Linked DNA regions of Sus scrofa. The protein of the gene in region 1 binds, or shares a complex with, the protein of each later gene. Links are inferred from orthologs where the notes say so. Each region holds a gene or a part of one and is shown in the gene's direction. Other genes may lie near its edges.

Region 1 (10,848 bases):
ATATAAACCTCTCTCCAGAGTGCTCAGATTCATTCAGATACAAAGTCCTCTGAATTCTACTCCTAAAGTTCCTTTGTCTTAATTCAGGTTCTAATCATCACTCATCCTGGGTGGTTTCCCATCTGAAATGATCTTTTTCTTAAAGATGGGTCATGTGATTCTTCTGCTTAAAGACCTACCAGGAACTCTGCCTTTGAATGAAGTTCAGTCTCTGAACAAACCAACTTGATTCTGGCACCCACTGGAAACATCCTGTTGAAGCACAGTTTTATTTCTGCTACTCACAAACTGCATTTTTCCCCCCGTTTATATCTGGATCTCAGGTTCAGAATGTTCAATTATTCACATTTCACTGTTCATGACATACTGTCGTAACTGACCCTTCTCAGGCCTTCACTTGTTATGTATTATGCATTCCCTTTATCCCTACTCTCATTTCTGCTACCTGCAACCTTACTAATGTATTTGATGTCTATGCTTTTTTATTTTTTTATTTTTATTTTTGGCCACACTTGAGGCATGCAGGATTTCTGGACCAAGGTTCAAACCCATGCCACAGTAGTGACCCGAGCCACAGGAGATCCTTAACTGCTAGGCCACTGGGAAACTCCTATACTTTTTTATGTGTTCCTGTAAAATATGTGCTTTTTGTGTGTATGTGTGTTTAATATACATAAATGGTATTTTGTTATAGATCTCATTATGTTTCTCACTTTTTAAATGTAGCACTGTGGTTTTTTTTTTTTTTTTGTCTTTTTGCCATTTCTTGGGCCACTCCCGCGGCATAAGGAGGTTCCCAGGCTAGGGGTCCAATCGGAGCTGTAGCGACAGCCTCCACCAGAGCCACAGCAACGAGGTATCGCGCCACGTCTGCAACCTATACCACAGCTCATGGCAACGCCAGATCCTTAACCCACTGAGCAAGGCCAGGGATCGAACCTGCATCCTCTTGGTTCCTAGTCAGATTCATTAACCACTGACCACGATGGGAACTCCAGCACTGTGTTTCTAAGCTCTACTTATGGTGCTAGTCTGTTGCTTCTTTTCAAAAATTTTTATTTTTTATTTTATTTTCTTAGGGCCGCACCCATGGCATATGGAAGTTCCCAGGCTAGGGGTCAAATCAGGGCTGCAGCTGCTGGCCTACCCCACAGCCACAGCAACACCAGATCCAAGCTCCAGCTGCAAACTTGTTTGCATCTCACAGCAACAAGGGATCCTCAACCCACTGAGCGAGGCTTGGGATCAAACCTGCATCCTCATGGATACTAGTGGGATTCGTTTCTACTGAGCCACAGTGGGAACTCCACCAGTCTGTTGCTTCTGATTGCTGCATAGTACTCCTTGGTGTGTATCCTTTCCCCTGATAATGGACACCGTGGATATTTTATACAAGATCCCTTGGACAATTCCAGTGTTTCATCACTGCCTGATATAGCAGTTCTCAACCCTTTCAGACCCAACAGTCCTCCCTAAATAACAAATATAATATCTCCCTTATTATTCGGAATCAAAACTCACAATCTACCCTACCATGATAGGCAGCTTGTCAGGTAGCTTCCAGTGATGTGTGCCACCTAGTAATCTCATCCTTGTGTAACGACCTAGTCTTGAGTGTGGGCTGCACTTATGTCTTTTAGTGAATAGCACAGGGCGAAAGTGGTGGGGTGCTAGTTCCAACGGTAGGTTACAAAAAGACCTGTGGTCTTGGGTATGCTTCCTGGTTCTCCCCTTCATCTGCGCTGATAGAGGCGTGCTGTCAGCTGCCCTATGAAGAGGACTGCGTGGCAAGGGGTGGAGGGAGGCTTCTGGCAATAGCCAGTGAAGAACTGAGGTCTTTAACAACCTGAAGTATTGGATCCTGCTGAAAACAGTGTGATTTTGGAAATGGATCCTCCGCGTCAATTCTTCAGAGGAGACTGTGTGATAAGTGTTCATTGTTTTAAACCACTAAGTTTGGGGATAATTTGTTACACAGTAATAAATAACCGATAGACCTAAGTACCCACATAACTAAAAAGTATAATGTCCTAACTATAATATAAAGGTAAAATAAAGACAGTAAATTATAATAATATGCATTTTGATATATGAATATATATTAAATATATTTATAAATATATAAATATATTTATAAATATATATAAATGACTAGCTAGAGGGTATAATGATCTCAGATGCTTGCACGTATATGTAGAGTCCCCGTGAATGCAAGGAGCTACAAATGCAGACTGATTCCAGTGCATATTGGCTACCCAAATTATTACAAGTGATGTGGCTTTTCATGACATTATTTCCTGAGTAGTTCACAGCTCTTGGTGAGATGCAAACAAAACAAAGTACTATCTCTGTCCAATTTCAGGGTAGTTGCTGTTTTGGGGGGAAATTCCCAGTTCTTTCTTTTCTATGTATCTTTCTCCATTACTTTCACACAGAACACTTCCTTTCTGGTGACCAAATATGTGGCGTATCCCCCCCGACGCATACACACACACAGCAAACAATTGTGTGACCTCAGGTGGGTGTCCTGCAGTTTAACTCAATGCTGACACTGTTGAGCTGGAGAGAGTGTAAGATCCCACTGATGAAGGGCTTAGTCCCACTAGACTGCTCCCAATTTTAGATGCCAATCACAAGTAGTAAGCCCCCAGGTTACCCCCAACTTCTGTCTGACTGGACTACAAATCAGAGGGTCCCATGACCTCCTCCCCCCTTGGATTTGGTTATTTCGTAGAACAGCTCACAAAACTCGGGGAGACATGTTTACCAATTTAATTAAAGGATATGATAAAGGATACAGATAAAGAGACACACAGGGCGCTCTTTGGGAGGGTCCTGAGCACAGAACTTCTGCCTCCATGGAATTAAAGTGCATCAACCTCCAGGTAAGTGGATGTGTTCCCCAACCTGGAAGCTCTCTGAACCCCTTACCGTTGGAGTTGTTATGCCTTGAGTAGGCATGATCGATTACTAACTCCATTTCCAGTCCTCTCCTCTCTCTAGAGAATTGGGAGGGTAGTGGCAGGGAAGAGGCCTGAAAATTCCAAGGTTCTAATCAAGGTTTGGTCATTTTGGTGACTAGTCCCTATCTAAGAGCCGTCCAGGAGCCCACTCAGAGATGCCTTTTTAGAACAAAGTTGTGTTCTTATCACTTAGGAATTTACAGGGGTTTTAATAGCCCGGTGTGTGTGCATAGAGGAGGTGTGGGATGGATGTCAAAGACCAGATATTAGAACAGGAGATGCTCCTAGTGCTCTTATCACTTAACAAATTACAAGGGTTTTAGGAATTCTGTGACAAGAAAGGGAGTGCGGTTGAGACATATATATATATATATATATATATATATATATATATGCATTCCTAGGAAATTCAGTGTGGGAGTTCCCTAGTGGCTCAGTAGGTTAAGGATCCAAACAAAGAGATACAGGGAGTTCCCTTTGTGGCTCAGCAGTTAATGAATCTGACTAGCATCCATGAGGACACAGGTTCAACCCCTGGCCTTGGTCAGTGGGCTAAGGATCTGGCGTTGCCGTGAGCTGTAGTGTAGGTTGCAGATGTGGCTCGGATCCTGTGTTGCTGTGGCTGTGGTGTAGGCCAGCAGCTAAAGCTCCAATTGGACCCCTAGCCTGGGAACCTCAATATGCTGCGAGTGAGAACCTAAAAAGCAAAAATAAATAACAAAAAAGCCCAAATGCAAACACAAAGCATTTTCCTGTGTTTTTAAGGTACATTGAATTTTCTTTCTTTTGTGGTGGGGTGGGCAGCAGTGACAAGGCTGGATCCTTAACTGCTAGGCCACTAAAATGCCAGTGTTTATATATTAACAGTTATGTTCTTGGCCCAGATAATTATGAACTGATTTTTCACTCACAGGAATGTTAAGAACATTCAGAAATAATGTAGTTTGGGAGTTCCTGTTGTGGCCAAAACGAATCTGACTAGTAACCATGAGTATGCAGGGTTCCATCCCTGGCCTTCTCTGTGGGTTAAGCATCTGGTGTTGCTGTGAGCTTGGGTGTAGGTCACATAGCAGCTTGGATCTCAATTTGCTGTGGCTGTGGCATAGGCCTGCAGTTCTAGTCTGATTCAACTCCTAGCCTGGGAACTTCCATATGCCTCAAGTATGGCTCTAAAAAAAAAAAAAAGAAAGAAAGAAAAAAAGAAATAGAGTATTGTGGGGTAATCTTTCCCTGTGTGGCCTTGCATTGCAGAACAGCTTAAACACCTAGCTTTATTTAGCCTTCTAAAATCCATGGTTTTCCCAAAGTTCTGATTAAACAAACAAACAAACAAAAACGCCCCACAAAAGTTAAGTCCCCAGTCTAAGGGATGATAACACCCCCTTGAGAACTGCTTTCAAAGTACATCCTCAGTAACCAATACAGACCTTAGTAATAAATAACAGTGGAACTCTGAGGGGCTGAAGATGTTTAAACGAACCCCTAGCTAGCCCTGAACGATACATAGCTTCGCAGTCGAATCAGGAAGCAGAAATCCGACGTACGGAAGCAAGAGATACACGCCACCTTGCCCGAGATTTCCTTTTTCCTTGCTAATTTTTAATTTTTTCTTGACAAGACGTCATCCTCAACTAAGTGCCCTCTCGGTCCGGCCGCTAGGTCGGACGAGCTGCTGTCCCCTGCGCAGGCGGGGTCGCGACTAGGCCCCGCCCCGGCTCTGCGCGTCACCGGAAGTGAGGTAGCGGAAGTGATAAAACCCGCTGGGTGGTAGGCAGGCGAGTCCGGGAGGCGGCTGGCTGGTGGGATGGCAGATGAGGAGGAAGACCCCACCGTGAGTGACCACTTGTGTTCCAGCCCACGTTTTTCTGCACTCTTTCGGGCACTTATAGCGGAGGCACAGTTTAGAACTGGAGCTTTTTTCCGTAGTGTTTTCAGAGGAGAGCATCAGAGACTTTGCTTCATACTAGCCTTTCCCTTCAGATTCATCTTTTTGGTACGCGGGGCGGGAAGAGTGGGAGCGTGGCTCCCTGCCTGCCCTTTGCTTTTGGTCCATGTTTGCCAGACACTCTCTGAAACATCTAGAGAATCATCAGAGGACAAAGCTAGTATGTTAGCGCTCATTATGAACCGTCAATTCAACTGCTAACAAAACTATATACTTATTGTAAAATAGTGGAAAAATAATGGACTCAGAGTCAGGGAACATGGATTTCAAAATCTCTTTTCTCTGTGAGCAGGTTATTTGAGCCTCGGTTTTCACATCACAAAATGGGATTAAGGCTTCCTTGAGGAACGTTCTTAGGGCTGTGTTAGCAGTGCTTAGTAACTTAGTTTTGCTTGCTTTAATTCAGTATCAACTCCTTTACTAGCAAAACTGTCTAGAAATAGGCCAGCTTAGTTGGTTTAAAAAAAAAGAACGGTGTGGGGAGTTCTTTGTGGGCAACAGGTTAAAGATCCAGCGTTGTCACTGCAGCGGCTTGCGGCGCTGCTGTGGCGCGGGTTGGATCCCTGACCAGGGAACTTCCACATGCCTTGGGCTCGGTAAAAAACAACAACAACAACAAAAATATGGTATTGGAACTTTTCCAGGAGAGACACTACGGTTATTATGGATATTGTAGAAGCCATTCCTGCATGAGTCTGAAGTTGGACTGATAGTTTTTAAGGCCTCTGAAATTCTAAGGTTTCATGGGGTTTTGCTGCCTGCTTTAGGCTTTCAGGCATGATATCATTGTTGAAGGTGGGGAAAAAATGTTAATTATTTAAAAGTCCAATGCAGTGCTTGACATCTCTATGTATACATTTTAACTTCTAGTTTGAGGAAGAAAGTGAAGAAATTGGAGGAGGTGCCGAAGGTGGACAGGGTAAAAGAAAGAGACTTTTTTCTAAAGAATGTAAGTAGTATTTGGCAATGATTTCGTTATAGATAAAAACCTTTGGAAATGTCTGTTCAAAGTAGACTTACTGTTCTGAATGTGTTTCCTTGTAGGGACAATATTGTCAGACTTAGCTGTAAATTTTGTTTAACCTGTGAACCATAGTAATGATTCTTACCCCAGTGTATGTATTTATATATGTATATGTATGTATATGACACACTTTTTTTTTTTTTTTTTTTTAAAGAAATGTGGGAGTTCCTATCGTGGTGCAGGGGAAACAAATCCGACTAGGAACCACGAGGTTTTGGGTTCAATCTCTGGCCTTGCTCAGTGGGTTAAGGATCCAGCGTTGCCATGAGCTGTGGTGTAGGTCATAGACATGGCTCAGATCCTGTGTTGCTGTGGCTGTGGTATAGCCCAGCAGCCATAGCTCTGATTTGACCCCTAGCCTGGGAACTCCCATATGCCATGGGTGTGGCCTTAAAAAGCAAAAAAAAAAAAAAAAGAAAGAAAAAAGAAATATGATCAGTGTTTCAATTCAGTACCTCTGTTACTTTTTCTGTCCCTTACCTGTGCAGTAGTAGGAGCAGGGACTCCTTTGATTGTAAGCCAAAGGTTATGTTGGCTCCTGGAACAGGTGCTGAGAATAGGAATTAAGTTGGGGCTTTGGACTAAGGCAGTGGACAAGGAAAGTGAACAGTGTGAGGCAGTCCAGTGGCATAGAGATAATAAGGTTTTGGTTCTCTGTTCTACTCTCTGAGTAGAGAGCTTTACCCTTTTTGGCAGCAGCAAGGAGAGCAGCTGCTGCTGCTGCTGATCCAGGCCAGCCCTTGAAAGGCACCATGAGAATGTGCGGGCTCTCTATCTCCCAGTCCCAGTCCTTTTCATGTAACATGGCTGACCTGATGAGGCAGCGCCTGAATACTTTGTTTACTTATGCTGGTTTGCATGTAAGCAGTTCCTAAATGCTCTTGAAACTGCAGAGTCAGTATGTCTTTTTCTTCCTTAACCATTCAAATCCCTTGTTATATCAGTTTCTCATTGAAAGTGGACCACTCCTGGAGTTCCCATTGTGGCTTAGTGTAACAAACCTGCCTAGTATCCGTGAGGATGAAGGTTCGATCCCTGACCCCGCTCAGTGGGTTGGGATCCAGCGTTGCCATGAGCTGCAGTGTAGGTCGCAGCCAGGCTGAGCTGACGTTGCTGTGGCCGTGGCATAGGCTGGCAGCTGTAGCTCTGATTCTACCCCTAGCCTTCGAACTTAATATGCCACAGATGTGGCCCTAAAAAGCAAAAAAAGAGAAAGTGGATCACCTCTTATTCTATCTCTGATGTTGTTTACTCCATTTGTATGTGGGTTTGCTTCTCTTTCTAAAAAAATTTTTTGGATTGCAGTCTATTGTCAGTTTCTGCTACACAGCAAAGTGGCCGAGCCATACATCCGTATACATTCTTTTTTTTTTCACATTATCCTCAATCATGTTCCAACACAAGTGGTCAGATATGGTTCCCTGTGCTATACAGCAGAATCTCACTGTTTGTCCACTCTAAATGCAATAGTTTACACCTACTGACCCCAACCTCCCTGTCCCTCCCCCTCCCTCTTATGGTTGGTTTTGCTTCTTATGTTTCCATAAGAAAGGGATTCCATATCAGAGTGTCCCATAGTGATGATTATATAGTCAGTTCTTACCAGAAGCCTTTGTTCCACTTGGATTGCTTTGTTTTGTGATGACAAGAGTTCAGAATCTTCGAAGCCTTTTCCTTGTCTTACCTGAATCTTCATATACCTTCCTGAACAAGATCTGTTCCTAAACCTTTTTTTAAAAACGTTTTTTTTGCCAATATAACACAAAGTTTCAAAGCATTCACTGCTGGTTTTTATATCCTTACAGTCTCTATTTATTTATTTATTTATTGTCTTTTTAGGGCCGCAGCTGAAGCATATGGAGGTTCCCAGGCTAGGGGTTAAATCGGAGCTGCAGCTACTGGCCAACACCACAGCCACAGCAGCGCTGGAGTGCAGCTGCTGGCCTATGCCACAACCACAGCAATGCTGGATCCAAGCTGTGTCTGTGGCCTACACCACAGCTCACAGCAACACCGGATCCTTAACCCACTGAGCAAGGCCAGGGATCAAACTCATGCCCTCATAGATACTAGTAGGGTTCATTAACCACGGAGCCACAATGGGAACTCCTTTACAGACTCTTTAATCAAAACAGTTTACAAACTTCCCATCTAAGTTTTTCCTTTTCCAGTGAAGTGTATTTCCCTACTGATGAATTCTTCTCATCAAAATGTTAATGACAAGATATCTTCCTCAGAACATTTAAGGAAAAAATTACGTTTGCAGTGGAGAATCCTGGCATGCATTACTTTAGCAAGTCATCAAAGTTTACATTACTAGTAATGTATGTTGGCATTATGTACTCATGATATGAGGCATTAAGAGGTACATCATCTCGGTGTACCCTTTCTAGTAATGCATAATCACAACCTAACCATGAGTGAACATCAGACAAACCCAAACTGAAGGACATTCTACAAGATAACTGACCAGTATTCTTCAGAAGCATCAAGGTTCTAAAAGACAAGGAAAGTCTGAGGAACTGTTGCACAACAGAGGAAACCAAGGAGGCATGACAGCTGAATAGTGTGTGATCCTAGAACAGAAAAAGTACATGAGTGGAGAAACTGGTACTTGTACCACTGTTAATTTCTTAGTTTTGAGAAATATCTTTGGTTATATAAGATGTTAACATAAGGGGAAACTGATAGAGGCATTGGGGAACTTGGTACTACTTTTGCAACTCTTCTCTAAGTCTGAAATTACCTATTTAAAAAAGGTGGGGGCAATGTTCAGAATCCAGAAAAGAGAGGGGAGAAAATACTGGCTCCTGTGTTTGTTTTCTCCCTCCTGTATCTGGGCCTAGAGACTTTTGCCAGAATAAACCCTAGGGTACTTCTCTATCCCAGGCTGGCTTCCAAAGTTACCCTTTCTTTTCATCTGCAGGCCTTGTCTACTCTTTTCTCCTAAATAGGAATTGCTCTTAATGTACTCATTCCTGCTTTTAGAAGTGTTCTAGGAGTTCCTCTTTTTTTTTTTTTTTTTTTTTTTTTGTCTTTTTGCCATTTCTAGGGCCACTCCTGCGGCATATGGAGGTTCCCAGGCTAGGGGTCTAATCGGAGCTGTAGCCACTGGCCTGCGCCAGAGCCACAGCAACTTGGGATCTGAGCCACATCTGCAACCTACACCACAGCTCACGGCAACGCCGGATCGTTAACCCACTGAGCAAGGGCAGGGACCGAACCCGCAACCTCATGGATCCTAGTCAGATTCGTTAACCACTGCGCCACGACGGGAACTCCTTTTTTTTTTTTTTTTTTAATGTAAAACTTATATACAATAAATTGTACTAGTCTTGGAGTTCCTGCTGTGGCTCAGCCACTTACAAACCCGACTAGTATCCATGAAGACATGGGTTTGATCCCTTGCCTCGCTCAGTGGATTACAGATCCGGTGTTGCCGTGAGCTGTGGTGCAGGTCGAAGCTGCGGCTTGGATCCAGCCTTGCTGGAATAGGCAGGCAGCTGCAACTCTGATTTGACTCCTAGCCTAGGAATTTCCGTATGCCACGGTGTGGCCCTAAGAAGCATAGATAGATAGATAGATAGACAGACAGATAGGACTAGTCTTCAGTGAATAGCTTGATGAATTTTACATATATATATATATATATATACATATATATATATATACACTTGTAACCACTAGTCAGATCAGGATATGAAACATTTCTAACATGTGACAGTTTCTTAGTATATACACCTTTGAGAATCTTATGAGTTGATTTTTCTTCCCAGAAAAACACACACACTCAAATAATGTTTAAAATTTTTTTGCATATAATTTCATTAGAGTCCCCTGACTTCTCAAAGCTTATCCATGAACTAACTGGGAGTTTATAGACTGTAGGATAAGAATCCATATGGCTCCCATCTTCCCTAAACTACCAAGAAGGGTAATCCTGTTGTGGGAAGGAGTATAGACTCTGGAGCCAGATCATCTGGATTCAAACTCAGTTTCCATCTCACTATCTTATGACCTTGGATAAATCATTTACCTATGTGCCTCAGTTTCCCCATCTATGTAGACTGGGGATAATAATAGTTTTTGCTTCAAAGAATTGTTGTGGCGATTAAATGAGTTTAGTCTTTTTTTTTTTTTTTTTTGTCCTTTTAGGGCCTCACCCTCGGCATATGGAGGTTCCCAAGCTGGGGGTCTAATTGGAGCTGTAGCTGCCAGCCTACACCACAGCTGCAGCAACACCAGATCCGAGCTGCATCTGTGACCTACACCACAGCTCCTGGAAACACTGGAACCTCAACCCACTGAGCAAGGCCAGGGATCGAACCCGCAACGTCATGGTTCTGCTGGACTATGACAGGAACTCCAAATGAATTTAAAATAACTCCTGGCATGTTAAGGGCTATATAATTTTTAGCTACTAGGAGTTATTTTTATCACTCTGTATTAGACTTTTCTTCTCTTTTGCATTTTCTGTGGTTCCTTCAGTTGAAACCTGAAGGGGCTTTGCTGGCAGTTGCTTTGATCCAGGGAATGAAATGTCAAGATTTTGTATAGTAAGCCCCTTGCTTTTTCCTTTTGATTACCTTGTTCTTCCTATAAAGAAGGTAATTGGAGCACTTTCTCTCATGTCCACTTCCTTATGGTAGTATCAGAAAGACTTTTACCTTTTTCCTACCTCCCCACTGCCACCCCCGACAACACACACAAAACAGTCCCAGTAAAGGGTAAACCATGCTACTTATCCTGTTCCTGCCATGGAGTGTCTTACTTACAGGTGTTCTGGGTTTGTTGGTGAGCAGTTCAGAGGGATGAGGGAAGGAATGTTGATGTGAGGGTTCAGTAACTGAGAGGGAAGGGAGTCCTACCTTGGGAAAGCTAGGTAGGAACAGCCAATTATAAGCTGGCAGTTCAAA
Region 2 (10,852 bases), on another chromosome or scaffold:
TGACCACTCTACATCTCCCTACATCGTTTCCTTTTTTTTAAAATCCTTTTGGGAGTTCCGTCATGGCTTAGTGGTTAACAAACCCAAGGACATGGGTTCGATCCCTGGCCTTGCTCAGTGGGTTAGGGATGCGGTGTTGCCGTAAGCTGTGATGTAGGCCGAAGACTCGGCTCGGATCCTGCGTTGCTGTTGCTGTGGCTGTGGCGTAGGCCAGCGGCTATAGGTCTAATTAGACGTCTAGCCTGGGAACCTCCATATGCCACATGTGAGGCCCTAAAAAAAGACGAAGAAAAAAAGGTTTTAAAAAAATAATAAAATCCTTCTGAAGCATACACAGAGAAAGATACTGTTAAGCAATTTTAATATACAAATATTTAGGAGGATTAAAAAGGTTTTTTAAAAACTTAGAATTGTAGGTGTTCCCATTGTGGCACAGCGGAAACAAATCCGACTAGGAACCATGAGGTTGCGGGTTCAATCCCCAGCCACGCTCAGTGGGTTAAGGATCTGGTGCTGCCGTGAGCTGTGGTGTAGGTCGCAGACGTGGCTTGGATCTGGCATTGCTGTGGCTGTGGCGTAGGCTTGAGGCTACAGCTCCGACTAGACCCCTAGCCTGGGAACCTCCATATGCCTTGGGTGCGGCCCTAAGAAAAGACAAAAGACAAAAGACCAAAAAAAAAAAAAAAATTTAGAATTTTAAAAGTGGATTTCCTTAACATACAAACAATATAAATTTAGAACTATCTAGTTTAGTACCTGAATTTTGAAATTCCCTGCCTCACTAGCAAGGGGAAACCAAGATTTTATTTTCCTTGAAGAATACTCAGCCACAGTTGTGAACCATTTAGTAGTAAATAAGATAATGCTCCTTTAGGGGAGAAAAAGAACCAGAGGTTGGAGCTGAAAGTAGGCTCAGGAGAAGTAAGCTGGAGTCCTAACTTAAGTGTCTTATGAATGCAAAAGTCATGCTTCACTCCTCTTTTAAAGACAAAGGATTAGGATTATTATCAGCAGTGAGGGAAGAAATGAAGACCTCTGGAAAAATATTTCAGCCACAGCTACCTAATTCACTTCCTCCTCTCAAAAAGACTGCCACTAGTATTACAATTTTGGTCCCTTTCCTCTATTTTATTTTTTCATTTTTTAATTTTTTGGTTGCACCTGCAGGATGTGGAAGTTCCTGGGCCAGGGATCAAACCTCACCACAGCAGCAACTCAAGCCACAGCAGTGAAAACACCAGACCCTTAACCCACTGTACCACAAGAGAACTCTCTCTTCTATTTTAAAAAATATATTAGGAGTTCCCATTGTGGCTCAGCAGTAACAAACCCAACTAGTATCCAGGAGGATGTGGGTTCAATCCCTGGCCTCACTCAGACGGGTAAGGATCCAGGGTTGCCGTGGCTGCGGCGCAGGCAGGCAGCTGTAGCTCTGATTTGACCCCTAGCCTGGGAACCTTCGTAGGCTGCAAGTGCAGCCCTAAAAAAAACAAAAAAATTAAAAAAATAAAATAAAAATAAAAAAATAAAAAATATATTAAAATAGTATTAGAAGTAAAACTGTTGACAGCAAGTCTAATCTAGCAATCCCGATCTGCATGTTACACATTTTATAGTTTCATTTCCTACATAAATATGAACTTCCATTTACCTTAATAACAACAAAAAAGATAAAAAAAAGAAACAGTGAAGGGAAATAAATTGCTTAAGATCAGAGAAAAATGAGATCCATCACTAGGAAAAAAGTTAACTTTCATGAGTATGACACTATATGACACCTGTCCTACCCACCTGCCAGCCTTGCTAAAAACTGGCATATAGTGAACCACATAATTTCTGAGGCAGGGCCTGTTGTTAAGCTATAAGATGCATATTTCTTTTTTTTCTACTGCTCTTCCATTCAAGAGTTTTTAGCCTTTTCTTTGTGACTGAGATTGTAAATATTTTTCAAAATTGAAGTTTTGTTCCTTGGGTGGGGGGTAATTCAATAAATTTTATTATACTTGTATAACAATCATCACAACCCTATTTTACAGCATTTCCATCCCAAACCCCCAGCCTATCCCTCCTCCCTAACGTGTCTCCTTTGGTAACCATAAGTTTGTCAAAGTCTGTGAGTCAGTATCTGTTCTGCAAGGAAGTTCATGGTATCATTTTTTTTAGATTCCACATATAAGTGATAGCATATGACATCTGTGTCTCATTAAATCATGTTAAATGTACAGTTGTTTCACAGTTTATTACCAGACTTGTTAGATCAATTACAACAGATACTGAGCACCCTTATTTTGCTAGCAATAATAAGTTATTACAAATATCTACAAAAACTTTAATTCTTTTTGGGCAATTTCATGTGGCCATTTTAGTGTATCATACCTTTGTGGAAGATACCTTTGGTCTAAGAAAAGTTTTTGACATTATAAACTTTGATAGTTCCCATCCGGAGTATACAACTTGTAACACATTAAAGTACAATTCGCCTAGGGAAAAAAAGAAAGAAATCTCAAATTTAGAAAAACTGTAAAATAGAAGTATAGTAATTAATACACATGATAAAAGTCAAGAACATAATAAAGTTAAGGCTTAAGGACTAGTGGGAGAGAACACAGTAAATATAGGGGAAGCAAGAATTCAAAATGCTAAAATAAATTCTATTTTTAAACTGAAACTATAAATTTTCTCTCTTTTTTTTGTCTTTCCAAGGGTGCATCTGCAGCTGCGGAGGTTCTCAGGCTAGGGGTCGAATCAGATCTGTAGCCGCCAGCTAGCGACAGCCATGGCAACTCAGGATCCTTACCCACTGAGCTAGGCCAAGGATTGTTAACCCGCATCCTCATGGATGCTAGTTGGATTCATTTCTGCTGAGCCACTATGGGAATTCCAAATAACTAAAATTTCAACGACTATAATTGTGTCAAATAATCTATCTGTGGTGTTCAGTTTTTCATCTAACTCAATGTATTAGGAAAACAAAAAAAATCCCGAACATTTGTATATCTACCTTTTGTCATTAATAAAGATTAGACAATTCTATTTCTGCAGTTTTATACTTAAAATTAAAATTTCCCTCATTTCAAATTATAAATTTCAAAAATTCAAAGAGGATTTTTTTAAAAAGACACCAAAAATTAATTCAGACATATCACTCACTTTAAACAAAGATTTTTATCTCCTACTGTAAACTTTTTCTATAACCGTCCTTATTTAAACGTTATCACAACATTTTTGGGCAACACTGTTTTCCAACTGTCATAATTCTTCAATGTTTAGGCAAACCAGTGAACTCACCAATTTTAAGTTAGCCAGAAAGAAAGTTTTTTTAGCGTCTACAAACCTGTAAACTGAGCTTTTTTATAGTTTGGAAGCACGTGTAATTTATAATGTGTAAATACTTTTAAACACTAGAAAACAAATCGTACACACACATATAGATAAGCTGTTCATGTCTAGAGGGGTTTTTGCTTTACAGCGTCAAAAACGTATTTAAGATGGAAAAAACAACTATTTCAGAAAATACCGTTGGCAGGTCAAAATAAAAGTCATACACTTGATACCATCTAGACTCTAACCCTTTGAAAAAAAGACTGACAGTTACCTCCTTTAAAAAGCAGGCAACTGTCTTTGACGATACCAGGTTCCCGAAATGAGACATCAGAGGGAGAAAAGACCTCGAAGAGTATTTCTAGCAGACCCACCACCACTCTATACACTGCACAGGGGATACTAAGCTCATACAATCATCCAACGTAATACTACTAGTCAGGGCAAAGCGGAGATGAGCTGGTCTGCCACAGCTCCAGGCCAGAGCTCTGAACGCTCACCCCTCTAATCCACAGATGGGATGGGCAGGTCAGGAGGAGGGGCTACAAGAGTCTGAGAAGGCGTGAAGGCAGACCTGGACTTAAGGTCTCTAGGACATAAATACACCGCAGCCACAGCCACGGAAGCGTTACCTTCTGGTAGCAGCATCCCCTCGTGGGCGCAGAACAGTGGTGGAGCCCACGGTTGGCTCCAGGTGTAAGCAAAGCCACTCAGCCCTAACCGGGCTCAGCGCAGAGCCTCTTGGAGGTCCCGCCTCCCGGGGACTTTTCAGAGCATCGGCGCTTCGGCGACACGGCCCGAAGGGCGGGGCCGCTAAAAGAGCGAATGTCTTAGGCATCCAGCGCACTGCCTGACCCGAAGCGCGGACATGACCTGTTTTGGTACTTTGGACCCTGCAATGGAAGCGTGTTATAGAAGCCTAGGTAACCAATGGTCAGTGGCAAGGCGGCAGATGTGGGTCGCGAGCGCCACTCAAGGTCTCGCGTACCTCCGCGCCACAGGCATTTGCCGCTCCTCGCCCCTTCCGGCCCCTCCCTGTCGCGTGTAAGGCGCGTGTGCAGAAGCGTCCGGAGCCAGCGCGGTGAGGACCATGTTGCTTCCGAACATCCTGCTCACCGGTCAGGGCGCGCGGTGGGGGTGGTGCTGGACGGTGGGGCCAGCCTGGGACGCCCGAAGTGGGGGGGGGGGGGCGTTCAGTGTTCTGTGTCGGGGGTCGACAAGGGTCGCCTAGCGTGGCACTTGTTGGGGCCTCGTGACCGGCCCTCGCGACGGTTGCGGGAGGCGGGGGGAGGGGACCGCGAACGTCAATTTTGTTTGGCCAGAGGTTGGCCCTTCGGTGAGGCGGAGAGAGGTAGATGTATCTAGCTTCCTTTTTTGGCAAGCTGCCTAAGCTTTCTCAATCACCTTTTTGTTTGCAAAATGGCCGTTGCCTCTTGGCAGAGTTGTCTTCAGGCTTTTAGCAATATAATGTAAGACAGTGTCTGGCCTTTGGTAGATCTCTTAATGGTGGATGCTTTAGGCCTCCGGGGCCCGTTTCTCGCTTTTCCTTTCTTTCTGGCAGATTTCGATGAAAGGATTCGGGTGTTTGCGGTGTGGGGTGATTAATTTGCTATATACACTTGTGAAGTTAGCTTCAGAGGCTTTTTTTTTTTCATTATTTTAAGAAGGAAAGGCATCTACTGAGTATCTCTGGTCGTTTCTCGTGTAGAGGTGTTCTAAGATTCACTGTGGGGGTTCATCTGGGTCTTCGGATCTATACTGAGGGCGTTTGTTATATATGAGGGATAGTAAAATGCTTCATACCGATCTTATAAAGAATATTATTTTTGGTTGTTTAACTCTGAAAATGTTTATTAGATTGTAGCAGTTAATGGCATCCTAGGGCATTCATGAAAAAAATCTAATGGATGTAGATAGATGCTGTTGCATTATAAAAATTGAGGCGGTTATTTATTGGCAGCACACAAATCCTTCTGTTTCTGAAAGCTGCAGATTAACCTCAACAAATTAATGGTTAGCCATGACGATTTCTTAAGGGGAAGATTGTACAACATTGATTTGTTTGGGTCAGATAGTGAGTGTCTTGGGTTTTTTTTAATATTAAACCATATCGTCAAAAATCTAAATGTGTTTTATTGAAAACATGGTGAATTCAGAGTTCAAATTTAGTATATTATAGTGGATTGTTACTGTCCTTACATGAAGATCTATTCCTATTACCTTTTTTTGCTTTTTAGGGCCATACCTGCAGCATATGGAAGTTCCCCGGCTAGGGGTCATATTGGAGCTGCAGCTGCTGGCCACAGCCACACCAGATTCAAGCTGCATCTGTGACCTACATCACAGCTCATGGCAATGCTGGATCTTAAACTAACCGAGCAAGACCAGGGAACCATACCAAATCCTCATGGATGCGAGTTGAGTTTCTTACTACAGAGCCATGATGGGAACTCCAATTCCTGTTATCTTCAATTAAAATGATTAAATTTTATAATTTCAGTGGTATTAAACCTGAGCAGCTGAAAGTTATGAGTTTGATTATATATTTTGAAATACAGTAGATATAAAAAATAAGATAGAAGTTCCTGTGGTGGCACAGTGGGTTAAGGATCTGGCTTATTCACTGCTGTGGCTTGACTTGATGCTGTGGTGCAAGTTCAATCCCTGGCCTATAGTCATGGCCAGAAAGAAAAAAAGGGAAGTTGAAAAACAATATATAGTATTGCCACTTACATAAAAGGGAGTATTTGGTGTGTGCACGTATATATACACACAGTGTGAAGATATGTACACATATGTAGTATGCTATCATATATATATATATATATGGACATATTTACAAAAACATACATATGATTCTTTAGAGAGAGAAATAAAAGAAACCAGTTTATACTGGTTGCCTCTAGGGAAGAGTACAGAGGGTCCATATTGGAAATGAGATTTGTCTTTCATACTGCTGAACTTTTTCCCATGAACAATTTAATTTTTTAAAATTAAAGCAAATAGGAGTTCCCGTCGTGGCTCAGTGGTTAACGAATCCGACTAGGAACCATGAGGAACCATCCCTGGCCTTGCTCAGTGGGTGGGGGATCTGGCATTGCCGTGAGTTGTGGTGTAGGTCGCAGACGCGGCTCGGATCCCATGTTGCTGTGGCTGTGGCGTAGGCTGGCGGCTATCGCTCGGATTGGACCCCTAGCCTGGGAACCTCCATATGCCGCGAGTGCGGCCCTAGAAAAGGCAGAAAGACAAAAATAAATAAAAATAAAATTAAAGCAAATAACTCATGGTGATTTATTTGAGATAACTAGTTTCAATCTGGGGATTTCCATGGTGGTAGCAGACAGCCTTTGATTGTCATCAGATTCTCCCAAGCCTCACTCCTGGTAGAATCTGATACACCGAGTAGGATTGTCATGTCCAGCAGGCTTTGGGTGGTTTTCATTAGGTTATGGTGTGAATTAGGTTATGGTAATTAGGATTGCTAATTAGGAAACTTTTCAGTTATTAAGGACCTTAAGGACAGATCATTGGCTAAAACCTAATAAATATTTTATAAACAGTTTTTTTCTGTGGTTTGTCTTACAGGTACACCAGGGGTTGGAAAAACCACACTCGGCAAAGAACTTGCATCAAGATCAGGATTGAAATACATTAATGTGGGTGATTTAGCTCGAGAAGGTAAGGGACACTTCAGTGTTAGATTTGCTTTTTTTTTTTTTTTTTTTGGTCTTTTTAGGGCTGTACCGTAGGCATATGGAGGTTCCTAGGCTAGGGGTGGAATTGGAGCTGTAGCAATGTGATTCTGAGCCACGTCTTCGACCTACACCACAACTCGAGGCGACGTCGGATCCTTAACCCACTAAGCAGGGCCAGGGATCAAACCTGCATTCTCATGGATGCTAGTCATACTCGTTTCTGCTGAGCCACAATGGGAACTCCTATATTTGCTTATTAATAAGGGCGGGAGAAGTAACAGAGTGTTGGTACTGTACTTGTATGGGGGTATATAAAGCAGGAAGATTCCCATTAAGGAATTTGTGCTCTATTGGGGACCCATAGAGATAGAACAAGTTATTTAATGCTGTAACCTGGTTATTTTGACCATTACATCCCTTCCACAGTCGGCCAGCAGTTCTTTTTGACAGTACTGATTGGGACAGTTTCCATGAAGATTGGACTTAGGACAGATAGAATCTGAATATGAGAGTATTTTGAGTTGGGTGAACACCTAAAGGTTGGGGTGTTGCTAAGTATATCTGAAGACTGTGAGTATCTTGAGCTCACTGTAAGGATGTCATTTTGAACTCAGGCATCAGGACATAGCTGTCCTATGTGTTCTATGGGATTTTCTTAGATTAGTTTGGTAGGCGCATGCCTGCAAGCAACTGCACATATTCTAAAGTGACATGTTTTTATTTATTTTACCCTGTTTTTCCCAAATCTTTTATTATTCTCTTATTTGTGTCTTCATCTTTTTACATTCCATAATGGGTAGAAATGCAGTAAATTTAAGTAAAGGGAACTTTAAATGTGTCTCATTAAAATGGAAAAAACTTAACATATTTTTTAAGTTTATACTTTTGAAAATTTAACATGTATTTCAATTTTTTAAAGTTCCTGACAGTTGCTTCTAAAGTAACTATTTCAGGTTTGATCTAATGTACATATTTTTTTCAAATGATCTAAAGTCTGATCACCGGATATCATGGAGTCTGGCAAGATGGCTTCTCCCAAGAGCATGCCGAAAGATGCACAGATGATGGCACAAATCCTGAAGGATATGGGGATTACAGAATATGAGCCAAGAGTTATAAATCAGATGCTGGAGTTTGCCTTCCGATATGTGACCACAATTCTAGATGATGCAAAAATTTATTCAAGTCATGCTAAGAAAGCGACTGTTGATGCAGATGATGTGAGATTGGCAATCCAGTGTCGTGCTGACCAATCATTTACCTCTCCTCCCCCAAGAGATTTTTTATTAGATATTGCAAGGCAAAGAAATCAAACCCCTTTGCCATTGATCAAGCCATATTCAGGCCCTCGATTGCCACCTGATAGATACTGTTTGACTGCTCCAAATTACAGACTTAAGTCTTTACAAAAAAAGGCATCTACTTCTGCGGGAAGAATAACAGTTCCGCGGTTAAGTGTGGGTTCAGTTACTAGCAGACCAAGTACTCCCACACTTGGCACACCAACCCAACAAACCATGTCTGTTCCAGCTAAAGTAGGGACACCAGTGTCCCTCACAGGGCAAAGGTTCACAGTACAGATGCCCACTTCACAGTCCCCAGCTGTAAAAGCATCAATTCCTGCAACATCAGCAGTTCAGAATGTTCTAATTAATCCATCATTAATTGGGTCCAAAAATATTCTTATTACCACTAACATGGTGTCATCACAAAATACTGCCAGTGAATCATCAAACGCATTGAAAAGAAAACGTGAAGATGATGACGATGACGAGGATGATGACGACGACGACTATGATAATTTGTAATCTAGCCTCGATGCATGTAGCATGTATACTTGGTTTTGAATCCATTGTACTGGGATTAAACATGCATGCTGGATGTTTCTAAGTTATGTTTTAGAAAAATAGTATTTAATGAGTAAAGGTGGTTACCATATTTTTTAATTGCTATATGTTGGACGTTAATAGGATTAGTAATGGTTTTTATCAGCCTTTAAGTGTAAAAAATAAAGTTGTAATTCATCAGTTTGATTGTTGATACTTTGACAGTTATGTTTTTAGAAGCAATTTTTGCCTCATCACCGACCGACCGAAGTTAACAGTTGGAAAAACTTGAGGTTGTTACAGTCTGTTCGTTACCACTAGTGTGTCACTTCTAGTGTCTTCAGATGTTTAGGTCATAAAATGATCTCTGGTGTATAAGTCACTCTGTGAGCTGTTCTTGTGGAGAAATCACTTAGTCAGGATTTTTATTCATATTAAATCCTCACCCATTTAGATTTATCTTTCTCAATGGCCAGACTTCCTCCTAGGTTCCATTTTTTTCTATCCCTTTGCTTATATTGAAAGACCTTGGTATGTCTCCCAGTGTCTCACCACTTAAAATTTAAAAAAAAATTTTTTTCTAGTGTCTCTTTTTGAGGATGAGTTTTGTGCATCTTTGCTAGTCATGCTCTTGCTATAATAAGCCAGTGTTTTTTGTTTTTTCTTTTTAGGGCCACACCTACGATATATGGAGGTTCCCAGGCTAGGGGTCAAATCTGAGGTAGCCATTGGCCTGTGCCGCAACCACAGCATTTCAGGATCGGAGCCACGTCTGCAACCTACACCACAGCTCACTGCAACACCAGATCCTTAACCCACTGAGCAAGGCCAGTGATTGAACCCAAGTCCTCATGGATTCTAGTCAGGTTTATTACCACTGAGCCATGACAGGAACTCCTGAACTTTACTAGTTCTGACAAGTGATTTCAGTCACATAGAGTAGTCATATTCAGTTGTGTCTTCCAGTTCTAATCTCACCCACTCGATATAATATTTCTGAAGTTAATGAAGTTGCTTTATAACCTGTCATGAATTGCACTGAGAGAACACCAGACCAAGGATAATCCGCTGTGGGACACTCTTTCCTCCTCACTGAGTCATCCTCTTGTACTCACACCATTTTAGCTGTGTGCCTACCTGATGGTGCATAGTCCTGACCATCCTTTGTGTTTTATTAATGAGATTATTTCCTGAGATGGACTTTACTTTTAAGGAAAAGTGGGGTTTTTTTTCCTCTTGCATTTTGCCAGATAAAAGAATTTCTGGTCTTGTGTTAGATGAGGTACTTTACAAGTTTTTCTTTCTTTTTTTTTTTTTTCTTTTAGGACCCAAGCCGGGCACATGGAAGTTCCCAGGCTAGGGGTTGAATCAGAGCTGCAGCTGCTGGCCTACACCACAGCCACAGCAACATTATATGTGAACCACGTCTGCAACCCATACTGAAACTCACCACAATGCCGGATCCTCAACTCTGAGCGAGGCCAGTGATCGAACTTCATGGATACTAGTCAGGTTTGTTACCACTGAGCCACAACAGGAACTCCTGTAAGGTTTTTCAAAATGTACCAGCTTTCTTTTCCCACATACCATATGGATATATCTAAAAATCTTACTAGGAAATAATTTGAGACATTGAGCCTCCTCATTTTTTCCAAATGGTGCTGCTGTATTTTAAGGAAAACCCTGCAACCATCTACAAAGCAGTGGTTCCACACGGGGCGGGGGCGGAGGGGTGATTTTTGCCCTTCAGGGGACATTTGGCAACTTCTCAGGTTTTTGGTAGCCATAACTTGGGCGGGGGGAGCAGTGTTGCTACTGACCTCTAATGGGTAGGAGTTCTGCTGAACATCCTGCAATTCACAGGACAGCCCTCCATCCCCTTAAGAGAATTATCCAGCTCAAAATATCAGTAGTATTTCAGGTTGAGAAACTGCTGTAAGTGATGAGACTTGTAAAAACAAAGGGTTTTAAAGTCTAAATGGACTTTATTGCCATTGTAGTAGTCGTGTT
Region 3 (10,843 bases), on another chromosome or scaffold:
CTGTTCAAATCAGACATAATTGTCACTAGAGAATACACATAAAAATACTTCTATAGCAAGTAAGTGCTTTAAGTAAGGTCATAGTATACAAGGTCAACATGCAAAAATCACTATTATTCCCATATACTAGCAATGAACACACTGCTATAGACTAGTAATTTGGTATTTTGTTATGCCACCCCTGGGAAACCAATACACAAAGGTGAAAAGATACACTGTTGTACATCCATACAATGAAATGTTATTTAATAATAAAAAGAAATGAAACAGTGAAACATGAAATAACACAAATGAATCTCAAAGGCATTACACTGAGTGAAAGAGGCTGGTATTAAGAAGCTATATACTGGGAGTTCCAGTCATGGCTCAGTGGAAACGAATCTGACTAGTATCCATGAGGACGCAGGTTCAATCCCTGAACTCACTCAGTGGGTTAAGAATCCAGCATTGCCTCGAGCTGTGGTGTAGGTGGCAGATGCAGCTTGGATCTGGTGTTGCTGTGGCTGTGGCACAGGCAGGTAGCTACAGCTCCAATTCGACCCCTAGCCTGGGAACCTCCATAATGCTGTGGGTGCGGCCCTACAAGAAAAAAAAACAAAAAAACAAAAAAACAAAAAACCCCCAAGCCCCTATCAACATTCCTTTTGTACTAGGTTTTTGAAATCCAGCACATATCTCACACTTACAGAACATCTCAGTTCAGACAAGCTACATTCAGTGACAGTGGTCAATGATCATACTGGTGGCTACTGCAGTAGATAATGCAAGTCAGGTTTTGCGATTACTTCCTAACTGAGTTTTCTAACTCTGGCTTTTTTTTTTTGTCTTTTTGCCTTTTCTAGGGCTGCACCCGTGGCATGTGGAGGTTCCCAGGCTAGGGGTCTAATTAGAACTGTAGCCGCCAGCCCATGCCACAGCCACAGCAACTTGGGATCCAAGCTGCATCTGCGACTTATACCACAGCTCACAGCAATGCTAGATCCTTAACCCACTGAGCGAGGCCAGGGATAGAACCCACAACCTCATGGTTCCTAGTCGGGTTTGTTAACCACTGAGCCATGATCGGGAACTGCTCTAACTCTGGTCTTGCTTCCCTCCAATCCATTCTTCCAATTTAGCCTGAGATATATAAACACATAAATCTGTTTATCTCCTTTCTCAGCTTAAAGTGCTCCAGTGGCTTCTTATTACTTGAGGGATGGAGTTAGAATGCTCGAACAGGCTTGATGATTTATGTCAGAACCCAATCCTAGCTTATCTTTCTAGTCTCATCTCTTACATCTGCCCCTCATGCTTGATGCTCCAGCCATAAAGAGTTTTGTTCCATTTCCTAAATATGTTCCTAGCTCTCTCACCTCTAGTCCTTTGCATACCTCATCCTCTCCCCTATTCCTTTGCCTCGAGGTTTCTGGCTAGCACATATTTGTTACTGTCTGAGCTCTATCATTCTCTCTTTGCCAGTACATATGTACAAGTACAGACAGATAAGACAGAGACACACACACATACACACCCCTCGGGAAATTTCCTATAGTCAATGGCTATCCTTGCCATTCTTCTCAAAGTGAGGCACGGTAAAGACAAACACAAATAAAAAATCTTCCCCTGACTAAATCATAGCAGTGGCCCTCTGGCCCCTTCCACTTTGAGCTGCTATTACACACATAAATCTTAGGGTTTTCACAGTTTCACCACTCACCAGTGTGAGTTCAAACTTAGGAACTAAACAAGATTGTAACTCACACCAGTGGTGGGCTCTCCCCCATCACACCCAACCCTAGAAACTGACAGATCTGTGAAAACCATAAGCATACGTGTGTGTGCACATGTGTGCATGTGTGTTGACAAACAGGGAGTGGTGGAGCCCAGTGACATCACAGGCTTTCCTGGTTTTGGTACATCCCTCACCTTTTCCCAGTGCTGGGCTTCAGCCTCTCCTTCTGGGTATACACATCAGTTAAGGCACCTGATATCTTTAGGGAAATTCACATTCATAGAGAAAAGTAATGAGATACAGAAGGAGGTACAATGCCTATTAAAGCAAGAAATTGAACAATCTAGATTAGATGAAAAATATTAAGTGCATCAGATGGAAAGATAATTTGAATGAAATAATACATATCCTCAAGGTGAAAAGAGTTCATACTGGTTACATCAGGGTTTCTCAATCTTGACACCGTTGACATCTTGGGCTAGATAATTCTTTGCTGTGGCAGGAGCAACAAGGGATGTCCTATACATTATGGGATGTTTGGCAGCATCTTTGGCTTCTACCCACTAGATGCCAGTTGCACTACCCTCAGTTGTGACAGCCCAAAGTGTCTCCAGATATTGCTAAATGCCCCTGGGGGTGGTGGTGGAACAAAGTCACCCAACTGGGTTACACAAAGCAGGAATAACAAATCATAAAGAACCAATCCATAATATTGTGAAAAATATAATGGTTGAGGCAAGTAACTAAGTGGGTTATATAGTAATACAGTCCAGGCCAAGAAAACTACACTGAAAAATCAGGTAGAAGAAGTCTTCTAGAGGATATCAGAAAGGGGTGAACATGAAAATATGAAGGTTAACAAACCTAGAGGATGGAAGTATAAGTATCAATACTTACATCATAAGAGTATAAGAAGGGGGAAACTAGAGGGAAGGAAATATTTGTAGATACAATGCTTACTAAAATCCCAGAATTTTTTAAAAAAAACCTCAGATTGAATGGGTACATAAAGGGCCAATCAAGATAGGCAGGAAAAATCTAATCCTAGATATGTTAGAGTGAAATGAACAAGCATCAAAGAGAAAGAGAAAGGGCCAGAGAGGAAGAGCAGCTCTCCCATAAAGGAACAAGATACAGACTGACACCAGATTTCTTAAAGCATCCCAAGAAGAGAGTAGAAGAATGGGGGTAGGGATCACGAAGGAAGGGGAAAAGAGAAACAAAAATTAAAAGTGGGCTTTGGGAGTTCCCGTCGTGGCGCAGTGGTTAACGAATCCGACTAGGAACCATGAGGTTGCGGGTTTGGTCCCTGCCCTTGCTCAGTGGGTTAACGATCCGGCGTTGCCGTGAGCTGTGGTGTAGGTTGCAGACGCGGCTCGGATCCTGCGTTGCTGTGGCTCTGGCGTAGGCCGGTGGCTACAGCTCCGATTTGACCCCTAGCCTGGGAACCTCCATATGCCGCGGGAGCAGCCCAAGAAATAGCAACAACAACAACAAAAAAAGACAAAAGACAAAAAAGACAAAAAAAGTGGGCTTTGAAGTCCTTCAATAAAAAATACAGAGATTTTGGGAGTTCCCTGATGGTCTAGTGGGTTAAAGATCCGGCACTGTCACAGCTGTGGCTCAGATTGCTGCTGTTGTATGGGTTTGACCCCTGGCCCAAGAACTTCTGCTTGCTGTGGTCATGGCCAAAAATAAAATAAAATAAAATAAAATAAAATAAAATAAAAAAATAAAGAAAGAAAGAAAAGAAAAGAAAAAATACTACAGATTTTATTTGTGGTGTAACAGAAAAGCCACTCTATGTGGTATAAGTGGCTTTGGCTGAAGTCCCAAACCAGACTCTGTGGAACTTAAAAGACAAAGCCAGGTAAAAGGTTAGACACCACAGAAGGAAACGGAGTGGCTGTACTTCTGCAGTCCCAGTTTCTGGGCTTCATCTGTATAGCTGGATCCAGTTTCTAAGACCTAATTCAGGAGACTGATGTATGCATCAGAAGTTTTACTATTCATAATAGGGTAAAACATCTTTCCAGGGAATAGTAAATACACCTGGGTTTATTTATGGCATTTCTCATCTAAGTTCTAAACTAATTACCAATTAATTACATATCAATTAGCGAATAATGAATTAGAAAAATCAGTTGAATGATCATGAGGTATAGGATGAATTTCCCCATCTCATAATTGTTACCATCTGAATTTGGTTTTTTCTCTCTTGGCCACTGCTGAATAAATGCTAACCAATTATTGTTCATCTCCCCTAATGCTCCTCCCCCCATGTTTCATAATCTTACTTTAAAAACAAAATTTTTTTTTTGGCTGTGCCTTGTGGCCACCCGAGCTGCTGCAGTGACAATGCTGGAGGCTTAACCAATGCAAAGTGAAGATAATAGTACTTTACGAGGTTGTTTAATTATATGAGGGCATATAATGTAAAGTGTCTATCGCAGTGCCTGAATATAGCCGGTCCGCAATAAACGGTAATTATCATCGGGCAAACAGAAGAGGCGGTCCCTCATCCCAACTTCCTGCCTTTTTGTCACTCACTTTTGAAAGTCGCTCTCGCTCCTATTCCTTTTTCTCCTTATTTCTCGCCCCTCCTACTGCCGCAAATTGCCTTCCAGAGCTGTCGTAAAACGCTCCTCCCCGCCCTCCATGTGGCGAAAACGCAATCACGCTTGACGGCGCGAGGTGGCTCAGCCGCAAGATGGCGGCGCTGGCGGAGGAGCAGACGGAGGTGGCGGTCAAGTTAGAGCCTGAAGGACCGCCGACGCTGCTACCTCCGCAGGCGGGGGACGGCGCTGGCGAGGGTGGCGGTGGCGCAACCAACAACGGCCCCAATGGCGGTGGCGGGAACGTTGCGGCATCGTCGTCGGCCGGCGGGGATGGTGGAACTCCTAAGCCCTCGGTGGCTGTGTCCGCCGTTGCCCCGGCGGGGGTGGCTCCGGTGGCCGCCGCTGCTCCGGAGGCTGGCGGGCCCCACGACCGACAGACTCTGCTGGCTGTACTGCAGTTTCTACGGCAGAACAACCTCCGTGAGGCCGAAGAGGCGCTGCGCCGTGAGGCCCGTCTGCTAGAGGAGGCAGTGGCGGGCTCCGGAGCCCCGGGAGAGGCGGACGGCGCCGGCGCTGAGACGGCTAGCGCGCTTCTCAGCCGGGTCACTTCCTCGGGCCCCGGCCCTGCGGCCCCAGAGCCTCCCGGCAGCGCCGCTTCGGGAGCCTCTGCTGTCTCGGGCTTAGCGACAGGTCCTGCGGCTCCGGGGAAAGGTGAGCCGCGGGGTCCCTGGGAGGCAAGACCGGCAAGTAGGAGATCAAGCAGGGAAGGCAGAGGCTGGCAGGCCTGCACCTCTGCGGGCTTGTTTTGAATTTCCTGGGCCCGCCTCTAGGGCCACATGCCCGCCCCTTTCCCTAGTGCGCCGGCTGCGCAGTCAAACCCTCTTCCTAGCTGTCAGTTCCAGAGAGAGGCTCTGGAGAGCTATTGAGCCCAGGGATGTACGGGGACGGTGGGCGCAGAGAGCCGGGGATGTTCAGGCTTTTGGCCCCTTTCGTTTTATTTAAGCTCTTGGGCCTTGTGCAGGGGTGTATTAGCACTAACAATATTTGTACAATATTGTACTAGTGTACTTTAAATTATGCATCTTAATTTTCACTGTTATACTGTGAGGTAGACAGTACCTCTATTTTAAAGATGAGAAAAGAGTCTGAGAAGAGCCCAGGGACTTGCTTTGACACAGCCAGAGAGTGATGAAATATAGTATAGCCAGTTTTCTCAAAATACAGGCTTACTATCGCTAGTGTTCCATCTTTTAGGGGAATGCAGATTCCTAGGCGTCACTTCGGACTTAGTGAGTCAGACCCCATGCAGGTGGACTCTGGGAATTTGCATTTTATTTTATTTTGCTTTTTAGGGCCACACCTGTGGCATATGGAAGTTCCCAGGCTAGGGGTGGAATCGTGCTACAGCTGCCAGCCTAAGCCACAGCAAGGCAGGATCTGAGCTGTGTCTGCGACCTACACCACAGCTCACGGCAATGCCAGATCTTTAACCCACTGAGTGTGACCAGGGATTGAATCCGAGTCCTCATAGCTACTAGTCAGATATGTTTCCCCTGAGCCACAGTGGGAAATTCTGAAATCTGCGTTTTAAACAAATACTTACAAGGGGATATTGATGTATATGGCAAAGTTTGAGAACCATTCATTTAGGAACAGGTGTTGACAGACCCGAATTCATTTTCTGTCCCTGTTGCTTTTACTTCTGTGATGCTGCTTGTTATTCTTCCTAAGCTCCAGAGGTTCCCCCCCACCCCCGTTATTGTTGAAATTCAGATATAATGTATGTAAAATGTCAGGCACTAATAAGTTTATGCCTAGGTATCTACCCCTGACACTGAGGCTCCCCCTCCCCTTTTTCTCCAGAAACTGTTGTCACAAAGTCCATGCAGTAAAATTTATACACAGTATAATCTCAGAGGTAATCCTGAGCCAATAATGAATGTTTATTGAATTAAATTATCCACTGTAGAGCCTTTAGCCAAATTAATCTGGACTTCTGAGACTTAATCTTTGCAACATTGCCAGAAGTGAAGTACAAATAGGTAGCATTGTAACCAATAAGTAGAAGTGTGTACAAATGTGATTGAGCAGAATCTTTCCTGAATGCTCTATTTTGTGAATGAACTATAAGGTGGATGAATTATGTTGGTTATTTTGCTGTAATCTCTTATTGCTTCAGAAGCTTGATCTTTTTTTTTTTTTTTATAAGATTGTAACTCAGAAACCAGAAAGGAGAAAAAGAGCTCGTCAGAGTAACCAAAAGAACTTAAAAAAAAATTATGCAGTGAAGTACATAGCAGTACTATAATTGCAACTTAAAAAATTTCCAACAATCAAACTGATTCTATTGACAGATGTATCATTGTTTGGTATATATTACCAATAAATACTCATGTTTTCTGCCGTGAAATGAAGGCAAGTCCTCCCCACCATTAACATGCTTATGTTTTATAGGGAGTGACTGGTGTACCTATATGAAAGTATGTGGGATAGGATGTGTTACAGGAAAGTTACAAAGTACTTAGCTCAGAGAGCTGGGAATGTTACTCCAGAGCCTGGCTTGGTGGTGGTGGCTGCCATTTGCACTGAGCCTGTAGAGAAGATTAATATGGCTATTTGGTTTGCACATACTGGGTTTTATAAAATTTGTCTTTAAGGTAGCTCCAGGAGTTACCATAGTGGCTCAGTGGTTAACGAATCTGACTAGGAACCATGAGGTTGCGGGTTCAATCCCTGGCCTTGCTCAGTGGGTTAAGGATCCAGGGTTGCTGTGAGCTGTGGTGTAGGTTGAAGATGCGGCTCGGATCCCAAGTTGCTGTGGCTCTGGTGTAGGTCAGCAGCTATAGCTCCGATTAGACCCCTAGCCTGGGAACCTCCATATACCGTGGGTGTGGCCCTAGAAAAAGGCAAAAAGACAAAATAAATAAATAAAATAAAATAAAATAAAATAAAATAAGGTAGCTCCAGAGTTTCCTGGTGGTGCAGTGAGTTAAGGATCTGGCATTGTGACTGCCATGGCTCAGGTTGTAGCTGTGGTGTGGGTTCGATCCCTGCCATGGTAACTACCATGTGTCACTGGCCTGGCCTCAAAAATAAAATAAGGTAGCTCTAGCAAAAATATTGAGCCTTTTTTGTATTTATTTGAAAATTTTATTTTAAGATAGGGACAGACTGAAGGGGTTTTGGAAGGGTAACTAAAACAAAGTGAATCCTGTCCAAAGATTATGTAATTGTGTTGGGGAAGAGAGTTTAAGAGAGGGAAAAACATCTGAGAAACAGTTCACCTCTGGACCTTAGCAGAACAGCCTTAGACTCTTGGTGAATGTCACATCATTTTCTTCAGAGTTGTTTTTCGTTTTTTAAACAGTTGGAAGTCTAGCTGTGGAAGACCAGCCGGATGTCAGTGCTGTGCTGTCAGCCTACAACCAACAAGGAGACCCCACAATGTATGAAGAATACTATAGTGGACTGAAACACTTCATTGAATGTTCCCTGGACTGCCATCGGGCAGAGTTATCTCAACTCTTTTATCCCCTATTTGTACACATGTACTTGGAACTAGTCTACAATCAACATGAGAATGAAGCAAAATCATTCTTTGAGAAGTATGTGAATTTATAAATACACAATATGTATATATAGCATGTATATATAATGTATATACATCTGTAACTACACAATTGTAAGATTGCAACCCAAAAAGTACTTTATTAAGGAGAGTTATCTGGTGCTTTGAGAACCTAAAGTGGGGTGGGGGTTGTGGGTGGTTTGATCTAGTTGGAAAAGTCAGGGAAGGCTCCCAGAGGAAATGATGCTTGAGTTAAGCTCTGAAGATGGGATAGGAGTTAACCAGAGAAAGAGACAATGGAAAAGCTTGTGTGACAGCTCTGTGCAGGAAGGATCGTGGTAGGTACAGAGGAGAAAGAAGGCCAGTACGGCTGGAGCAGAGAATAGGGGTGGTGTGTGGAGCAACATGAAGCTGGATAGTTGGTTAAGGGCTGGAGTAGGCAGGTTCTTGGGCCATGTTGAGGGTCTTTGTTTATCCTAAGAGAAGTAGGAAGTTGTATTGGCTAGAATTAAATTTGGCTGAGAGTCACTGAAAACTCAGACAGTAATGGTATAAATAAAAAGTTTATTTTTTGCTTTATCCTAGCAAGATGAAAGTTTATTTTTCTGTCTTATGAAGATAGGCAGTCTAGGACTGGTATGATTATCAGAGACCTAGGCTCTCTCGACCTTACTGCTGTAACATTCTTGTCATGCAGTTTCTACTTATGGAACAAGGTGACTCTCCAGCTCTAAGCAATCCCATTAGTGTTATAGTCAACAGAGAGGGCACACATCCTTCCTGAAGGCTGCACATTCTTCTCTCTTTTTTATGTCTTTAACCAACAGTCATGTCTACCTACAGGAGAGGTAGGAAATGTGGTCTTTACCTAGGTATCTGTATGCTCAGCTAATATTCAGGTGTTCTAGTGTGGAGGAAAAAAGGAAAAAAAAAAGGATTTTGGTGACAGTGAGACATCTCTGCTACAGAAGTCATTGTAGGACCATGTCATTATTAGATTTTCTTTTTTTTTTTTTTTTTTTTTTTTTGTCTTTTCTAGGGCCACACCTGTGGCATATGGAGGTTCCCAGTCTAGGGGTCCAATTGGAGCTGTAGCCACCACCCTACAGCAGAGCCACAGTAACACGGTATCCGAGCCATGTCTGTGACCCACACCACAGCCCACGGCAACACCAGATCCTCAACCCACTGAGCAAGGCCAGGGACCGAACCTGCAACCCCATGGTTCCCAGTCGGATTCATTAACCACTGAGCCACGACGGGAACTCCCTAGATTTGCATTTTGAAAGGACCTTTATGCAGTGGGGAAAACATGGTGGGGGGACAGAGTGATTATAGGTTGACCATTTTGGAGATTACTGCTGTTGTTCTCAACTGGGGGTGATACTATTTCTCCTTCCCCTGGGCTCTTTGAAAGTAAAGGTGTTTTGGTTGTCATAAGGACCAGGCTGGAGGATCCTGTGTTTTAGGGGTACCAAAAGTTCCAATATGTGCAGGTAGTCCCACTTAGCAAAGAATTGTTCTGCCTCAAATACTAATACTATCCCTGTTGAGAAGCACTGGATTAGGGTGTGATTGTGTTGGTGAAGGGAAGGAGACATATTTGTGAGGCTCATGGTGAAGGATTGGATATGGAGGTAAGGGAGATGAAAGTATAATTGATAACCCCTAGGTTTCTGGCTCTCCTGGGCTGGATATAAGGCTGCCCTTTGCCAAGATAGAAAACCCGGGAGAAGACTGGGTTTGTCAGGTTGTGTGATGATCTTGAGTTCAGATTTGAATATACCTTTTACTCATTTAAAAGATGTCAAGTGCATAGATAAATGACCTATAAGGCTCTAGAAATCAGGAGAGATAGGGACTGAAGCCATAAAATGGAGTTGTGTGCAACATTGATGGGTAGGGATGAGATTTTCTAAGAGAGAGTATGAAATAAGTCATTGGAAGGACTAGGCCTCAGTCTTCAGTATTTGGAGTAGAAGAGAAATAAAAGGAGTAGAAGAGAGGGTGAAGTAGAAGAGTTTTAAGAGGAGAGGCCAGAGAAGCAGAAAGAAAACCAGAAGAGGGTTGAGTTATAGAAGCCACAGAAAAGGAATGTTTGAAAAGGGGGTGGTGCTTAACAGTTGAATGAGAGCTCTTTATTATAAGCAGTAGACCCAGAAGCTAGGACTTGTCAGGTAACACAGGTAATGGGGGTAGAGGAGTAATAGGACTCCTGGCTTCTGTGCCACTATATTCATTCATTATTCTACAATGCCTCATAGAAGATATATAAAACAAATGTTTTGTACTCAGTGTTCTGGAAAAAAAAAAAAAGGCTGATGGTGATAGAATTCCTAAGCTAATTTTTCTTATAGTACTGTCATCAAAAAACCTTTTCCTCTTCCAATCTCATGGCGTAGCCCTCTCCTCACGTAGGAAGCTAGAATATCATAGGGGATCCTCTGTCTCCTTGTGGACATCCTCAGGCCTCGCCAGGAACCCATGCTCGGATGAAGTTATTCTTAGTGCATAGTGACTAATACAGACACCAAGAGGCTGATATTTATAATTTCATTCAAATCTTAGACAGAAACGACAGAAACACTTTTTTTTTTTTTTTTTTTTTTGGTCTTTTTGTCTTTTTAGGGCCGCACCCGAGGCATATGGAGGTTCCCAGACTAGGGGTTGAATCAGAGCTGCAGCTGATGGCCTACACCATAGCTACAGCAATGCCAGATCTGAGCCTCCTCTGCGACCTATACTGCAGCTCATGACAACGACGGATCCTTAATCCACTGAGCGAGGCCAGGGATTAAACCTGCAACCTCATGGTTCTAGTCGGATTCGTTTCTGCTGTGCCACAATGGGGATTCCAAGAAGCTCTTTTTTTTTTTTTTTTTTTTTTTTTTTTTGGTATTTCTTGGGCCGCTCCCGAGGCATATGGAGGTTCCCAGGCTAGGGGTTTAATCGGAGCTTTAGCTGCCAGCCCACGCAAGAGCCGCAGCAACGCGGGATCCAAGC

Evidence for each region.
Region 2: TAF13 (region 1) and TAF9 share a complex: the UniProt entries of both Homo sapiens proteins name them as parts of the TFIID basal transcription factor complex. The link is inferred for Sus scrofa from reciprocal best matches to the Homo sapiens genes TAF13 and TAF9.
Region 3: TAF13 (region 1) and TAF5 share a complex: the UniProt entries of both Homo sapiens proteins name them as parts of the TFIID basal transcription factor complex. The link is inferred for Sus scrofa from reciprocal best matches to the Homo sapiens genes TAF13 and TAF5.

What each region holds. Positions count from the first base shown.
Region 1 is NC_010446.5:110,976,097-110,986,944, forward strand, and holds the start of TAF13 (transcription initiation factor TFIID subunit 13), read left to right. Parts: upstream 1-4,719; 5' UTR 4,720-4,767; coding exon 4,768-4,794; intron 4,795-5,778; coding exon 5,779-5,857; intron 5,858-10,848. UniProt on the Homo sapiens protein: The TFIID basal transcription factor complex plays a major role in the initiation of RNA polymerase II (Pol II)-dependent transcription.
Region 2 is NC_010458.4:47,493,038-47,503,889, reverse strand, and holds TAF9 (transcription initiation factor TFIID subunit 9), read left to right. Parts: upstream 1-4,402; 5' UTR 4,403-4,411; coding exon of another isoform or gene 4,412-4,439; intron 4,440-4,442; exon of another isoform or gene 4,443-4,790; intron 4,791-6,906; coding exon of another isoform or gene 6,907-6,999; intron 7,000-8,009; 5' UTR 8,010-8,026; coding exon 8,027-8,824; 3' UTR 8,825-9,044; downstream 9,045-10,852. Other genes in the region: cell cycle checkpoint protein RAD17, read right to left, coding at 2,377-2,480, 3,954-3,969; AK6 (adenylate kinase isoenzyme 6), read left to right, coding at 4,252-4,402, 6,907-6,999. UniProt on the Homo sapiens protein: The TFIID basal transcription factor complex plays a major role in the initiation of RNA polymerase II (Pol II)-dependent transcription.
Region 3 is NC_010456.5:114,300,170-114,311,012, forward strand, and holds the start of TAF5 (transcription initiation factor TFIID subunit 5), read left to right. Parts: upstream 1-4,393; 5' UTR 4,394-4,424; coding exon 4,425-4,983; intron 4,984-7,639; coding exon 7,640-7,877; intron 7,878-10,843. UniProt on the Homo sapiens protein: The TFIID basal transcription factor complex plays a major role in the initiation of RNA polymerase II (Pol II)-dependent transcription.